Linked DNA regions of Drosophila melanogaster. The protein of the gene in region 1 purifies or fractionates together with the protein of each later gene. This does not show direct contact. Each region holds a gene or a part of one and is shown on either strand. Other genes may lie near its edges.

The links. The genes of interacting proteins can lie anywhere in the genome.
Region 2: the proteins of cerv (region 1) and CG1529 purify together in Drosophila melanogaster (affinity purification with mass spectrometry, with the first as the bait; one large-scale study listed by BioGRID). This does not show direct contact.
Region 3: the proteins of cerv (region 1) and Atac1 purify together in Drosophila melanogaster (affinity purification with mass spectrometry, with the first as the bait; one large-scale study listed by BioGRID). This does not show direct contact.

Annotation. Positions count from the first base shown.
Region 1 is NC_004354.4:15,575,995-15,580,427, reverse strand, and holds cerv (cervantes), read left to right. Parts: upstream 1-2,256; 5' UTR 2,257-2,538; coding exon 2,539-2,617; intron 2,618-2,662; coding exon 2,663-3,276; 3' UTR 3,277-3,442; downstream 3,443-4,433. Other genes in the region: CG7872 (uncharacterized protein), read right to left, coding at 993-1,994.
Region 2 is NC_004354.4:21,027,946-21,034,623, reverse strand, and holds CG1529 (uncharacterized protein), read left to right. Parts: upstream 1-2,673; 5' UTR 2,674-2,764; coding exon 2,765-3,037; intron 3,038-3,090; exon of another isoform or gene 3,091-3,101; coding exon 3,102-4,367; 3' UTR 4,368-5,972; downstream 5,973-6,678. Other genes in the region: CG1532 (uncharacterized protein), read left to right, coding at 6,349-6,444, 6,672-6,678.
Region 3 is NT_033779.5:6,958,393-6,962,729, reverse strand, and holds Atac1 (Ada2a-containing complex component 1), read left to right. Parts: upstream 1-2,401; 5' UTR 2,402-2,476; coding exon 2,477-3,547; 3' UTR 3,548-3,631; downstream 3,632-4,337. Other genes in the region: sip2 (septin interacting protein 2), read left to right, coding at 1-835, 900-1,139; Hmgcl (3-Hydroxymethyl-3-methylglutaryl-CoA lyase), read right to left, coding at 1,257-2,183, 2,243-2,287; CG3430 (uncharacterized protein), read right to left, coding at 3,691-4,074, 4,141-4,337.

The DNA.
Region 1 (4,433 bases):
GCTGTTATATTACTTTAAACAAATTGAGGACTTTGATTCTTTAGAAGAAATTATACGATTGTAAATGTTTATTATTTTATGCTATTATATTACATTAAACAACTTGAGGACTTTGATTCTTTAGAAGAAATGATAAGGTAATAAATGCTTATTATTTCACTACCTTATGCTGTTATATTACTTTAAACAAATTGAGGACTTTGAAGACATGTTTAAATAAAAATTGGTATACGTGAACTGCGAATAGCGAAATGCAAGAGCCACACGCATGTATCCGAAACTAAAGTCAGCATTTCGCAAAACAAATCAACTTTATTTGAAGGCTACCATTGAAAAATCTAGACTTCTTTACTCTTCAGCTTATTTTCAAGCACGTACTTAAGTTTAACTTTCAGCAACCGCACCAAACCAAGAAACAATAAAAAACGAAATTGTTTCTAAGCAAACTGTGTAAACAAAAGCACGGAGAGATGCTGTTTAGAGCGAATAAATGCCACGAGATCGAATTTTTGGCCATCCAGAACAACTGTGCAAACCAGGCACAGTGAACAACCAGTAAGAGAGACGTTTGAATTTTATCTAGTTTATTACAGTAATCGGTTTAGTCAAGTTAGTTAGGAAACACGCGAATGTGGCGTGCTTTTTTTGTGACCAGCCAGGTAGGGGTATAATTGTTCTAGGATGGTTCGTTCACGGCAGCCAGTGGACACTGTGCCGACGCGTACCGAACGTGGCCACGTTCTTGAACCGGTTTTGGCGGATCGCTCCGGCGGGGTCAACGTTTCGCCCTTTGGCGGACAACACCGGGACATTAACATAATTCATATTGATATAGTTGGTGTACAAAAAATTTCTAAATATATATATATAAATGTATCAAAATTTAGACGGTATGGGGATGCCGAGGGCGAGGAATTTGGGATCGGTTTTACAACACGCACACAACAGACTTTTAGATGGAACAATGAAACTTGAACATCGCAGAGCAGCGGCTAATCCTCAAAGGTGATGCGGCCGGGTCCGTGGTTCTTCATGTATCGCCTGTACGCCTTGTATCGTGGATTCTCCGCCAGCTTCTTTTTCATCTCCTCTTCCTGTTCTGCCTTCCAGGCGACGAAGTTCTCGCGCTTCCACAGCTTCAGATGCAGGTACTCCTCGATCAGCTTGTCCTCCTGCGCCTCGAACTGATGCTGGCCCATGCCCAGGTGCCGGCGGATGAGGTAGAGCTTCTGCTCGCGGCCATACGGCTGCTTCATTACCGTGTAGCGCCAGAACCACTGAGCGTGCCACACGATGAACGAGAGTATCGTGTAGGGGCAGATGATCAGCTGCACCCACAGCACATCCCAGAGTGTCGGCTTCGCATAGCCGCCCTTAACGTCCATCTTCTCCTCGATCACCCGCCGGATGATCCGTTCCAGCTCATCGCGCTGATCGTTCTTGGACATACGATTCTTGCCCTTCTTCTGGATCTTTTCCTGGATCTCGTCGCGAGCTATTTCCAGGGCCTGGTTCCTATACTTGGGCACCGTGGCAAAGTACTTGATGGCAGAATCGTAGCGCTGCCAGCCGGAATAGTACTGGATGACGGACACAATGGTTAGGACGACCACGATAACCACGCGCACATCCACCTTGGGCGCCACGCGTCGCCGGTAGTAGCGATAGTAATGCGCATAGTATGCATCCGGGTTGTCCAGCATGTAATCGTAGTCCGTGCGCGACTCCTCATCGCGCAGGATCTCGTAGGCGGTGGCCACCAGCTTAAACTGCGTCTCCGCCGCCGCCTTGGCCTCGGCACCCCGATGCAGATCTGGATGATAGCGCCTCGCCAGCTGGCGGTATGCTTTGCCGATCTCCGACTTGGACGACTCTCTGGTGACGCCCAGCACGTCGTAACAGTTTTCCTTGCCACAGTACAGGCCCTCTAGCAGGCCCAGGGCCATCGTGGGCAGCAGGGCCAAGAGCACCAACCGTAGTCCGTGCGTCCGCATCTTGGATAGCGCTTTCACCCTGGGGACACGTGTAGCTGCAGCTGGGGCGCACAGCTGGCACTCGTTGGCTGGGATCGGATCGGAGCGGATTGGTTGTGACTTGGATTGGTCCGCAGCAACTGGTGGCAGTGGCGGTCGCGCTGGCGCTGCTCGTCCGTCTGCTCGGCGTTTGGCACACTGAAAAGTTGGCCGCCGCTCGTTATCCAGGTTGACATTGGCCGATAACACCGATAACCGCGATAGCTCGCGGGTGGATAAGACCGTATGTTGGGGATATGGTCACTCTAAGTTAACTCATTTTACATTTTATTTTAGAGTCGCTAATTTGACGCACATTTATTTTACTTAAATTTCAGGCATAAAATCCATGCTTATACACCACGATTATTAACAGTTCGCCAAATACCGATTACACCCTCGTTAGGCTGCCTATCGAACTTATCGGTCCTAGCTGAACCTAGCTAAGCGTCAGTCTTGAACATTTGGATCCAAATATTCTGGATTTGCAATTTGCAAAGCGTCTGCATAGAATCTGGGCTTTAAAATGGACTTCAATTACCATGTGGATTCGGCACTTACCACTTTATTGGAAAACCAAAAGTTCTTCAAAGAAATGGCAGAAGGTAAGCCATGCGACACACTGAGACATCTTTAAAACCTACCCACAGTCGTGTCCGATTTCAGTGATGGCAGGGAGATCCAGAAGTTGTTGGACCAGAACGTGGATCTCGCCGAGAATCTCATCCGAATGAAGAGCAAGCACCAATTGCTCAGCAAGGCTATGAAGCATGCCAAAAACTCTAGCAACACCATCGAGAAGTTCGAGGAAGTCTGGAAGGAGCGCTCCGAAGCGGTGGAGCAGAAGCGCATCGATGTCAAGAACTCAGCCGAGTTCAAAAACTTCATGAAAGCGGCAGCTCCCCAGGCGGGTGCGGAAACAAATGGTCAAGCGAATAGCGCCGCCCATGACGAGGACCTTATCATGGAAGCCACCGGCGGCGAGGTCTTCTCGCTCTACGATCCCTGGTCCAAAGCCTTGATAAAGAACCCCGTGCGCAACAAAAAGTGCGGCCACATCTACGACCGCGACTCGGTGATGCTGATCATCACGGACAACATTGGTATTCGATGCCCAGTGCTCGGCTGTCCCAACAGGTCCTACATCCATCCAGCGCACCTGGTCAAGGACTCCAACCTACAGCAGAAGTTGCAAGAGCGCATGTCTGACGCGATCGAGAAAGAAACTTCCTCGGAGGAGGACGATGAACAGGCAGATCATTAATTATGCGCAACTTCCTTCTTGTCGACTAATAACGCAGCGTAAGATATCACGTTCTTGTAAGACAACCATTTGATGAAAATTTAAGGTACAACGAATAAACATGTTTTAAAAATAGTCCCGAAAAAATTTAGAGAAAATATATTAGAAGTGCAGTATGCACGTATGTATATAGTTTGCGATTTATTTAGAAAATTGGTACAAATGTAGAAACAAATGAATATATAGCACGATTGCCATCGAAATCATCGCCGAAACATTCTAGCGAGTCTTTGCCGCAGACGATCCACATCAGACTCATATGGCACCAATGGCACCTTGTCATTATCCGGATCGCTACTATCTTCAGAGGAGATCCAGACTGATTTACCATTGCTAAGCTTCGGCTCTGAATCCCCGCAAGCCATGGGGTCCTTCAGCATGGCTGCTTCCTCATTGTTTTTGGTTTTTTGCCGGAAAAAGCTTCCGGCATGGGTGCCTTGGTCAATGGGCCAGCTGTTGGCGACTTGCGCTGGAAATCTCTACAAATAACGAAGAATCTATCGGGAGCGGTGAACGGAATAATGAAATCGGTGAGCTCTATGAAGAATCGTAGGACTTCATTGTTTCGTTTAGAAAACCTATCAACTTGTATGCGTAAAGCATTTTCTTGAAATGGTCATCTTAAAAATGCTGTGCTTTGCAAATAGTTAAGTATTATCCGCTCGGATATGTGAATCAACTGAGGTCCTCACGCCAAATTATAAATGTGACTTGTAGACTGCAAAGTCATCGCCTTCTTTTTTGAGTTCTTGACACAAGCAAAAAGGGTTGCCATGGCGTTGTCATGCCCTTGGAGATAAAACCTCTAGACTCAAATATTCTTATTATGTTCCGCTGACATAATAAGTATTAGTGTTTTTATTTCATAATAAATTATGCAATTTACAGCATCGGAAATTGGTAGCTTCAGTATAATATTATCAAATATATTCAGTTTTATACCCGTTACTCGTGAAAGGGTATAGTAGATTTGTTAAAAAGTATGTAACTGGCAGAAGAAAGCGTTTCCGACCATATAAAGTATATATATTCTTGATCAGGAACAATAGCCGAGTCGATCTGATCATGTCCGTATGAACGCCGAAATCTGAGGAACTATAAAAGCTAGAAGGTTGAGA
Region 2 (6,678 bases), 5.5 Mb from region 1:
TTTCAAGGCACCTTTGAGCAGCATTATTACCGTCTTGCTGGTCGAGTCGGCAACGCCAACTTCAGCTCCTTGGAGTGCAGGGCGTTGGACATCACCGTGCGATCTTTGGTTTGACACCGTCTTTGCCCTTACTCGGTTCTTCATAGCTAAAGAGGCCATTAGGGATGGTCTGTTGGCTAGCATCAGTTCTTGCGGTGCATTTGGCATGCGAATTCTCCTCCTCCGGCAGCCTCACGCGCAGCTTTAGTTGGAGATCCTTCAATCTGGCAAATGTGTTCTTCATTGCCAGATTAATGCTCCTCACCCCGTTGTATAATATATCTCCCATCTCCTCGATTTCTAGAAAAGGGGGCCTTGCTGGTTGGGCTCTGTTTGGGGGGGAGGTCACTTATAATGGCCCCTTGGGGGTGCCATCGTTTGGCTTATAGGGTGGGGTCCTTAGAACCTTGGACTGCAAGGTGTGCGGCCCTATACCATTCGCCAGGTGATGGTTACGGTGCTGGCCGATGAGGCTCAGACACAAACCATTCCGCCGGCCACCTTGGCTCAGACGCAAAATGGGTTTTTATTATGCTGCTGCCCGGCTGGTCAAGAGAGCAAGCGCAGCGTCATGGACTTAAGGGTTGGGTGTGAAGGGTGAAGTTCCGACGGGGGACTCATAAGCGGAGGGGTTGGCTATTGGTCTGCTCCGTGATTTTTACACTATTACTGTGTGTTAGAGACAGTCACTCCTGTCTCTATTTAGCTGCCGCGACACGGAAAATTTTCGGGTTTTCCAGGAGCGTTAACTCGATTCGCCCGGCTACTCGCGCGCGTCCCCAGTGCTCTGATTACACAGGATTAGGTTTTTTTTTTTTTAATTCGTCTATTGAACATTTAAGATTAAGATTAACAGATTAACAATGTAAAAGTAAGGAGGGCAAATCCAGGACCCCCCGCGGTATGGCCGTGAAGCATTGCTTCGCGAGGACGATCAGGATTTGCAATGCAAAACAAGATTTTTTCGCATGGTGCCAATTGATCAAAAATAATATAGATTTAAAGTCTAAGAACTTCTGAGGTGAAGGGCATATTTTGTCAAATTTACAATGCATGAACATACGTGTGCACACATACAGTTGTCTGCTATTCGCTGTAGCGCTCTCCGCTCTCTCGCTCTCTAACAAAAATTCGAGAGAGCCTGGAGCCACCTCTAGAGCCACGGCCAAAAAATCGTGTGCCAAAAAATCGTATGGCGTTACGCATCTTGTTATTCTAGTGTCTTTGCATAAACCAAATCATAGAATGCCTTAGGATATAAGTCATAAATTCAAGTATCCCATAAGAACCCCAATTCTGGTGACAATAAAAAATCCAGCCTGCCCTAATGTAAACATTAACATCCGCTGCCGAATTCGCTATTCCCACCAAAGGGTCAAAACCGCTAACGCAGCTGAAGTTCTCGGCTGATCAGTACCCATGCGCGATCCACTCAAGAGGGCACCCAATCCACCAGACATAAACATCCGCAGCCGCATTCACGACTCCCACCAAAGGGTCAAAACCGCTTACGAAGCTCAAATCCTTGGCTTATCCCAGCATCCATGCACGATCCACTCAATTCATAGAAATACATAAGAGGAGCCCTCTTTAGCTTAACACATAAAGAAGTAAATTTCAGTCAAGGGTTTGCTAAGCATTCGCTTTGCAACTTACAATTAAATTTAATTCTTTCACTCTACGAATAAGACCTGAATTGTCTCCGCTTCCACACTTTTAATTTTATTTGAATAAATTACAATTCCAATAAATTAATATCATATATATTTTTATATTGTTTTGAAATTCTTACTCGTTTGCCTCTGACTAGGATATTTTCCACATGAACCGCGGTTAACGACCAAAATGGGCAATTCAGGATGACAACTGTTTGTAATTTTTGGTATATTTATATTTATATTTATTTATATTGGGTGATGACTGTAAAATCCTCAGGGCATCCTAGGTTGGGTGGGTGCGCATGTATGTTCATTTGCAATTAATGCTTTTGATTACCTTTTTTTGTTCCTTTGATTATTTGAGATCTTAGGTGTGCAGAGTGGTGAGACGTCGATAGTTATCGATATTTCTATTGCGAGCTGTGTGGTAAGCCTGAGCTAGAGGCACTGCAATAACGAAGGATAAGCAGTTCGTAACAAATTATTGCATTACTGTCAGCCGTAATACTTGGTCATATTTGGAAAACAATTATTTGTTTTTCATATATTATATATATATATATATATATTATTATATTATTATTTTTAGATTTGTTGTTTAATTCACGTTAAGAATCCGTTTTAAGGTCTCTAAAGTTGCTTTTCGATCCGTTCATTTAAATTGTGTAATTTTCAGGCGGGTTTTATTTATAAATAGAGAGGGACCAGATATTGAAAGGATGAAATAAACTGTAATACCGGAAACATCTTACTAGATGCATTCTTCGCATTGGGAAATGTTAATATCCACCCTAATTTATGACTAAGATTAAAAATGCATTGCGATTTCTAATAATATTAATGTAGTATTAATATTTTCGATATACAAGCTTATAGAATTTTTTAAAGCCTATAAGCTGGATTGGTAACGATATCGATAAGAGTGATCGATCAACGGCAGCGCAACAGGTGTCGCCCTCTGGTAACACTGGCGGTGCGTGTGCATCACAGCAGGAAAATTTAAGAGGCGGAAAAAAGAACTGGATTTCCACGTAGAACGTTGCCTTTAACGCGCACGATTCGTGGCGATGTTCACCACATTTACGGACCTCGCGCGCCTGTGCAGGATTTGCCTGCGTCATCTGCGCGACCGCGACACCCACTGTCCCGATCCGCGACTCATCGCGATTCTGCAAAAGTTGCTGGACATCGACATATTGAAGCAGCCGCATGGATTTCCCACTGAGATCTGCAACCTGTGCCACAACGCGGTGGTCTACTTTGACGAGCTGCGCCAAGTGGCAAGGGAATCCAGCCAGAAGCTTATCGGATGGCAGCCAGTGGACATCGCGGTCGACAGGGTGGATATATATGTCCTTTTCGGCTTGTTAAACCTGGATTAATACTTTCTTAGTTCTTTCCTAGGTGAAGGAGGAGCCGCCGGACGAAGGACTCAAGGAAAACCATGAGGAAAATGAGCATGAACTGGAGGAAGAGCATGAAAAGCAGGCGGATGGGCAGCAGGTAGATCTGTCGAAGAAGCAGGAGGATCAGAAGAAGATTCTTGACGACCGGGAGGATGAGGAGTATCCAGATGAGTACGAGAACAGCCAGCAACAGCTTAGCCAAGGCACTGGTAGTAAACGACGCGCTGGCTTGGCCTGCGATCAGTGCGGCAAGCAGGTGTACAAGCTACCGTACTTGGAGGCCCACATCCGCAGCGTCCATCAGGGCTACTCGAAACCCTTCTTGTGCCGCAGCTGCGACAAGTCCTTCACTCGATATGAGCAGCTGCGCTCCCACATGCGCAACGCCCATCCACAGCTGGAGCAACTGCAGCAGGAGCTGCGCGACCTAATCTGCGAGCTGTGCAACCGGCAGTACAGCACAAAGAATGCCTTGGGCGAGCATTTAAAGCGTCATGCCCAGCGCAAGGAGCACGTGTGCGAGCACTGTGGAGTGGCCAAGGTGACCCGAACGGAGCTACTGACCCACCTGCGCACCCACAATCCCACCTGGGAGCGCTTCAAGTGCGAGCAGTGTCCGCAGCTCTTTCGCCACAAGAGCGCCATTAGCCGGCATGTTCGGGTGGTCCACGAGGGTCAGCGGCGGTTCCAGTGCGGTCATTGCGAGAAAAAGTTTGGCACGCATGCCTCGCAGGTGCGGCACGAGCGGCTGCACACGGAATCCACGGGCTCGGGAGAGGCAGCCGAGGAATGGCCCTTTGCCTGTATTCACTGCCAGAAGCCTTGCGTTTCGCGACAAACCCTTGAGTTGCACCTACGAAGGCACCGCGCGAGAAAGACGCACAGAAAACGAAGGGAGCACAGTCGGGAGAGTCAGGAGCAGGAGCAGGAGCACGACCGCGATCAGGAGCAGGGCGCTCGGGAAGCTCAACAGGATCAGCTCCGCAAGGGGGAAAAGCTACGGCAGAGAGATCTCTCCAGGGAAAGCCACCGAAATGAGGTGACCATGCAGACAAGCCAGCGGCCAAATGAGTGTCAACAAGGTCAAGAGTCCTACGATCCGGAACCGGATCCGCTGGAGGCAAGTCAGTGCAAGCTAGAGCAGGAAGATGCACTCGATCCGGAATGGCAGCACAAAATAGAGCAGGACGCAGAATCGCAAGACTCGGCGCGACTGGAAGGGCATTTCCATGACTACAAACCTATCCCTTCGAAAGCCTTATGATCAACTATAACCTATCCATATACGTCCGGTTACATACATCAGGTTAGCGCCCCTTGAGCAAAAATCTTTGATTTGAGATATTTAGAAAACTGTTAAAGCTAGAGTTTTGAAAATTGCTTTTCATTCAAACGTTGAACAATTCTATAAATGTAAAATTTATATAGGATGCAGTTTCTTGTTTATAGATTTTTATTTAAGTAAAAAAAAAATCCATAAATGGGTTAATTAAAATTGGGTTATCAGGATAACGCCCCCTAAGATAATTTAAGTTGGTTCGATTCATTTCGAAAGAAATTGGGATGATTAACACTTAAATATTTAAATTAGAATATTTTTAAAGGAAATTATGGACTTCACACATTCGTCTGGAAAGGGAATCATATATTTTTTTTGTAGGTAATCCAAAGTAATCGCAGACCAATCGAGTTTTATTCCGGTGAACGATTCGTTTTGAGTGGCATATTGTTTACCACCCTCGTATACCTTCCTAGCCAACCATACCCACACGTTATCTATTATATAGTAGTAGTATGGTGGTAGTAGTATGGAATCCATGTTTTTGCCAAACGTGCAGTGTGGATTGAGACACTGTCAATTTGAAAATGTCATTCTAAATTTCCAAAAACGTTTCTAAAGTAGGGAAATGCAGTTTTGAATTATAATCTTTTGCGTTCATTTTTGGTGTTTAAAACTGCAATTTACCTATAACCCGACTGTGACAGCGATCCAAAATGTACGCAAATCATAATAGTAATGAAAAAAGCCGTCTGGTTTCTCCAGATTAAATTTCTTCTTGTCCGAAAATACGACGCCACTCCTTAGACCAAGTCAAATGAGCTCGAGCAAAACTCAGACCCGCTTTTTTTCGCAACTTATTGAGAGGTGGTTTTATTTTCAGTTTTTCGTGTTTTATGTTTAGCTGTCTTAATCACCATTTGAATCAAAGATTTGATCTGGTTTTCAACACTTTTTCTCGAATTTTGGCGGAGAAGTCGTGGGAATTGGGAGGTATTCGAAGTATGGACCTGCGATCTGCCGCGGTAAAGACAAGGTTATTGCCACCATTATTTTTTTTTTCCATAAGTTTCGTTCTTTTGAATAAAGTTTATTATAGGGTTGCGACATCTGGCGGGTTTTCTGAAATTTTATGATTATGAGCATTAATAGAATGCTATGATATTGTATATTTCCTGCAGGGATAACAGGGTTCCTCTTAAAGCAAACTTTTCAATTCAACAGCATAACAAATTTTGTTGTCCTTACCTTAGGACCTTTTTTTTATCCTCAAGGAGAGAGGGAATGTCAGTGAACAAAAAACAACAACATTGATGAATTTTCGTGCAATGGCAAAACCAGAAAATAAAAATGAACGGAGCCATGCAGGGGGCGCTAATCTGATGACGCGTAGTGTATATCCAATGAACTATCATGCAAATGTGGCTAGGACGCATTAGCGAAAATTTTTAAATATCTTACTTTCACGACATTTTATCCTTGCTACTACAATGTATTAAATAGTTTTATATGTTCGCTTACTTCGTATTTTATACGTTTTATATGCTCGCTTACTCCATATTTTAAGTGCCTAATAAAACTGTTGACGATAATTGCTTTTCATGGAAGGACTTTTGTGACAACATTTTGGATATACTCTTTTTTTAAAGTGTATTTGTCAAGTGTAAAATTTTGTGTCACAAAAGGTAAATTCCGATATTCGTTTTTTGAAGGTGCGATAGTCATTAGTTTTTTCCTCGTAGATGTCAATCAGCAAAAAGCGCACTTTATAATTTAAAACTTACAGTGTATTTAAATTTATTATTATTTAGTCTAAACTAAAAAATATCGATACTTCCAAAAGCTCCCGTCGCTGGGAATATTTGCTGTTCTGCGCACGGCCACACTGAAACGGAATGTACATAAACAAGGCCGAAATTCGATCGGAAAGCACTTGCTGAATAAACGCCAGCTGATAAACACAAAGATGTCGGCCATATCGGGACGCGCCCTGCACTATGTGTTCAAAATCGGAGATCGGGCGAAAAACGCCTTCTTCTTTCGGCAAATCTTGGGAATGACGGTAAGCTGGGTGTGGCGGGCGTATCGCCAGAAATCGGCAGACTTCCTTATCGCAGGCTGTTGTGTCTGGCTGTAGTTTTATCTGGACAACGTGTCAACGACGCGCGGCTGCTAATTAAAAAGCCCAGATGCCCGATAATGTCATATAATGACTGTGTTAAAATTTCATTTTTCTCTCATCGTTTTTGCTCCCTTCTATCGCCATCCCGCTCGTTCGCACGGCAACAGGTGCTGC
Region 3 (4,337 bases), on another chromosome or scaffold:
CTCACTTCCGAAGGATGAGGTCGAGGAGGAAGAGGACGATATAGAGGATACAATAATCGAGCTATCCTCTTCTGACGATGAAGAAGTGCAGCTAGTTCCAGAAGTAAAACAAGAAGACACGTCCCGTGTGTCCTCAGTCCACGGAAAAGATCACACTGAGCAGAAACCAGCGGAGAAGAGCGTTGAAAATAAGGAAAATTCGTTGCATTTCAATGATACCATGGAAGAAATGGAGTACATGATGCAAAAGGGTATGGAGTACATGGCAGGTGGGGCTCCTTCAGTCGCCGCAGTCAAGGCAGATTGCCCTGTGCTGCCCAAGACCAAACAAAGCACGTTCGTTGTTTCACCGAAGCCGGAACCAAAATCACCGGCTGTAGCCTTTTTGCAGCCATCAATTCCGCTGCGGTCATCTAATCAGCCACAAACAGTTGTAGGTTCATCTAGCACGGGTAGAAAGCCGCTCAATGTCGGCCTCACCATGGAGTGGACCAAAAAGAAATTTTTCAGTGCAGCCTCTGGTATTCCTCAGCGTCGCCAAAATCAGATAAAGCAGCCATACGCCAACATAGTCAGTCCCATACGCACCTACACCCAGAAGTCTGGTACTGCTCCGCTAATGAGTACATTCCGTCCAACGAGTTCTGATATGCTATCTACACTGGCCATCAGTGAGTTGGAGCAGGAGTCTCGCTTGTGTCATCCTAAAGCACTTTTCGCAACAAAGGACGAAACACCCAAGTCCAGTGAAGCGGAATCTTTAATTATCAATGGAATCGATTCAGCCGCTGATCTGCTTCCCAAAAAGGCTTACATATCTTCCGAAATCAAGCATGTAAGTTTAAATTTATATATAAGCCATGATGAGTGAACGTAAACTAATACCTTCCATTGAACAGGTGGTTGATGAACGAACTCCTTTGCCCATGCCGAAGGTACCTCAAATTCAAAAATACCTCAACTCCGCCGTGGAGCCTACTGTTATGCGCCACGATGGCAAAATGAAAATGCCCGGCGAGGCAGTCCGCAATCCGTCGTCTTCGCATATCCCACGACGCGCCAATCACAGCCTGGCTGATCTGTCGCTCGCCTCAGGCGACGTGTCCTTATACACAATAAGAGATGCCCAAAAGTTTTAAGGCCCATAAAAGTACTTCACGCTCCTTGACTAAATATTGCAACGATAATAAATGTATTGTGTAACTAGTGCTAGTAAATGCCTTCGTTTTCGTTTGATAGTATCAATGCTTGCATCATCACTTAACTCGCGCCTGCGGTCCCTTCCACGCTCGATTAACCTTGGACTCTGAGGTTCTGCCCAGTTCGGTGCAGATGTACCGCCCCACTTGGATCAGTTTGTCTAGGTTGACGCCAGTATCGAGGCCCATGCCGTGCAGTAAGTAGACCACATCCTCGGTGGCTGCGTTGCCTGACGCCCCCTTGGCGTAAGGACATCCGCCCAAGCCAGAAACGGAAGAGTCCACCACCCGAATGCCATAGTCCAGTGAGACCAGTATGTTGCTCAGAGCCTGACCATAAGTGTCGTGGCAGTGCACGGCCAGATCTTTAGCCGGGACGACCTTGGTCACCTCATCCAGCATTCGGCGCATTGTGCCTGGAGTGCCCACACCAATGGTGTCGCCCAATGAGATCTCATAGCAGCCCATTTGGTACAGGGCTTCCACCACTTTGACGACAGCACTCGGCGCAACAGCACCCTCGTACGGGCAGCCAACCACGGTGGAAACGTAGCCCCGGACGCGCACACCATGCTTTTGGGCTGCTTTCAGCACAGGTTTAAATCGTTCGATGGCCTCAGCTGCCGTGCAATTAACGTTCTTCAGCGAAAACGCATCAGATGCGGCTCCAAAGACTGCCACCTCCTCGGCTCCCGCCTCCAGAGCACTCTCGAATCCCTTCAGATTAGGCGTGAGGACTGGATAGCTTATACCAGTCACTTTGCGGATTCCTTTCAGCACTTCGGCATTGTCGCCCATCTGTGGCACCCATTTGGCGCTCACAAAGCTGGTGGCTTCTATGGTTCGCAGTCCTGTTTCGGACAATTGGTTGATCAGCTCGATCTTGGTGGCTGCCGGCAGGAGTTTGGGCTCGTTTTGAAGACCATCCCGCGGTCCAACCTCCACAATTCGCACCTGATTGGCCGCGCTTGTAACCGCCGTGCGCTGTTAGTTTTAAAATTATTAAAATATTGTCAAGTGCGTTCGATTTTCCGTGAAATTACCTTTGCTGTAAGTGCAAGGATAGAGCGAATTGGTGCACTTATCATTGCTAAATTTGTAAATAAACGTTACGTATTCCGCTTCTTCTTTTTTCGCTGATAACAGCTGATAATGATCCAAGATCGATATGTTGCTAAATTTCGATAACTGTTTTGCTTAATGAGCTGCCATCTCTAGCGCAGAGGCGTAAACACATTTTTTGTATACAAACGGGTATTTGGTGCTAATTCTTTGTAATGGAAATAGCAGAGATATCTGCAGAAGATGAGGATGTGTTTCACTTTGAGACCGAGCACCTGGCCCTGCGTGGCAACCAGTGCTATACCAATTTGCTGCGCACTTTGGCCGTGCTGCAGGCACAAAGGATTCGGGTGCATCAGCAGATTGAGGAATTGGAAGCCACACAAAATATCTACTTGGAGAATCCGCAACATATGCTGGACAAACTGCGAAACAACGAGCCTTTGATAGCGGATAATTACATCACCACGACCGTTCTACCGGACTTGCCAACTCTGTCGCCCAATGACGAGGAAGGGGGCACAAATGAGACACCGACCGATGCGTCTTCATGGACGCAAGAGGCGAACAAGAATCGGGACAGGAGCAATGGACGGTCGGAGAATTTCAATCGCTTGTGGACCAACGAAGAGCAGAGTCGCTTGGAGCAGCTGCTCATCCAGTATCCGCCAGAGGAAGTGGAAATGCGCAGATTCGGGAAGATAGCGAAGGCCTTGGGCAACAGAACGGCACAGCAAGTGTATAGTCGTGTCCAGAAGTATTTCCAAAAGCTGCACGATGCCGGAATGCCTGTGCCCGGTCGCATACCCAAGCATCGACGTCCTGGTTTGAGTAAGCCGAAGATCAAACTTCGCAAGTCAACCTTCTTCCCCGCTCATAATATATCGCTACAAATGCCAGAGGACGATTTCACATTTGACGACCTGCGAATCCCATCGCCTGCGAGCGATATGCTCCTTATGCCGGCATCCAAGATCGAACCAAAGATCGAATCCGAGTACATGGATGCCGATCTGAATGCGGAGTCAAAGCGAAAACAGGAACTATGCCTTAAGCTTCTATCAGCCATTCAGGACGAGAAACGGGAAATGGAGGACGGATATGAGCCAGACTTGCTGGCCGCCAAGTGTGCCGAGTGCGAAGAGGCATCTGTGACCAGGACCCAATGGCGTTGTAACAGTTGTTATTGTTACCTTAATCTGTGCGGAGATTGCCTGGCCAGTCAGCTAATCGAAGGGCGTTTCGAGCATTTAAGTCATGAAGTTGTAGTGGACCAAGAGTCATGACGCTCCTAGAGTCCCATTTACTTGAGTACTAAATTACTAGACTTGCCTGTAAAGCTACAAATTAAATATAAAGAGAATAATTTTAAAAAATTCTATTTTATTTATAAAAACTTAATATTAAATGGTATAAAAGAGAGGCCCTCTTAATTGCGCAATTGGGCAGATGATTTCGGCAGAGATTGAATACGCTGGCGACGCTTTGCTTCGAACTCCGTAGCCAGCTGCCATGTTTCTTTGTCCAACGTATCCTTCCCCCGGGCGATGCCCAGCAGCCGTGAGAGGACCAGCAATCCATGCAGATCATCGGCATTACTTTTGACATTAGCTTTACGCATGTCCACGAAATCCTGCTGGATCATTTCAGTGTGCTCCTCGCTCACGTTGAAGCCGCTAGTGCGCGCTGTGGTCAAGTACTTGCGAAACTGCTGCAGACGTGATGGCTGCAGATAGTGGTGGGCTGCCTTTAGAGATTCATCAACAAGTTCCACGGCCTTAGAATCGGCATTAATGGGCAGCACAAAATCGCTCTGAAAACATATCATTAATAGTTTCTATTGGATATAATGATTATTTATATAAACTTATATTCTTACCGGCAACATACTTCGCCCTTCACTGAGCACGAGAACTGGAATATTTGCTTGGTAGTCTATTTGGTAATACTGAAAGTCGCACTTCAGTTCCTGATTATTGATCAAGTGCGCTAAATGCTGAACGGCATGAACACCATTGGCCTCCAGCTTGCCCTGTTGCATGCACGTCTCGTCGAGCACCAAATGCGTATGGGGAG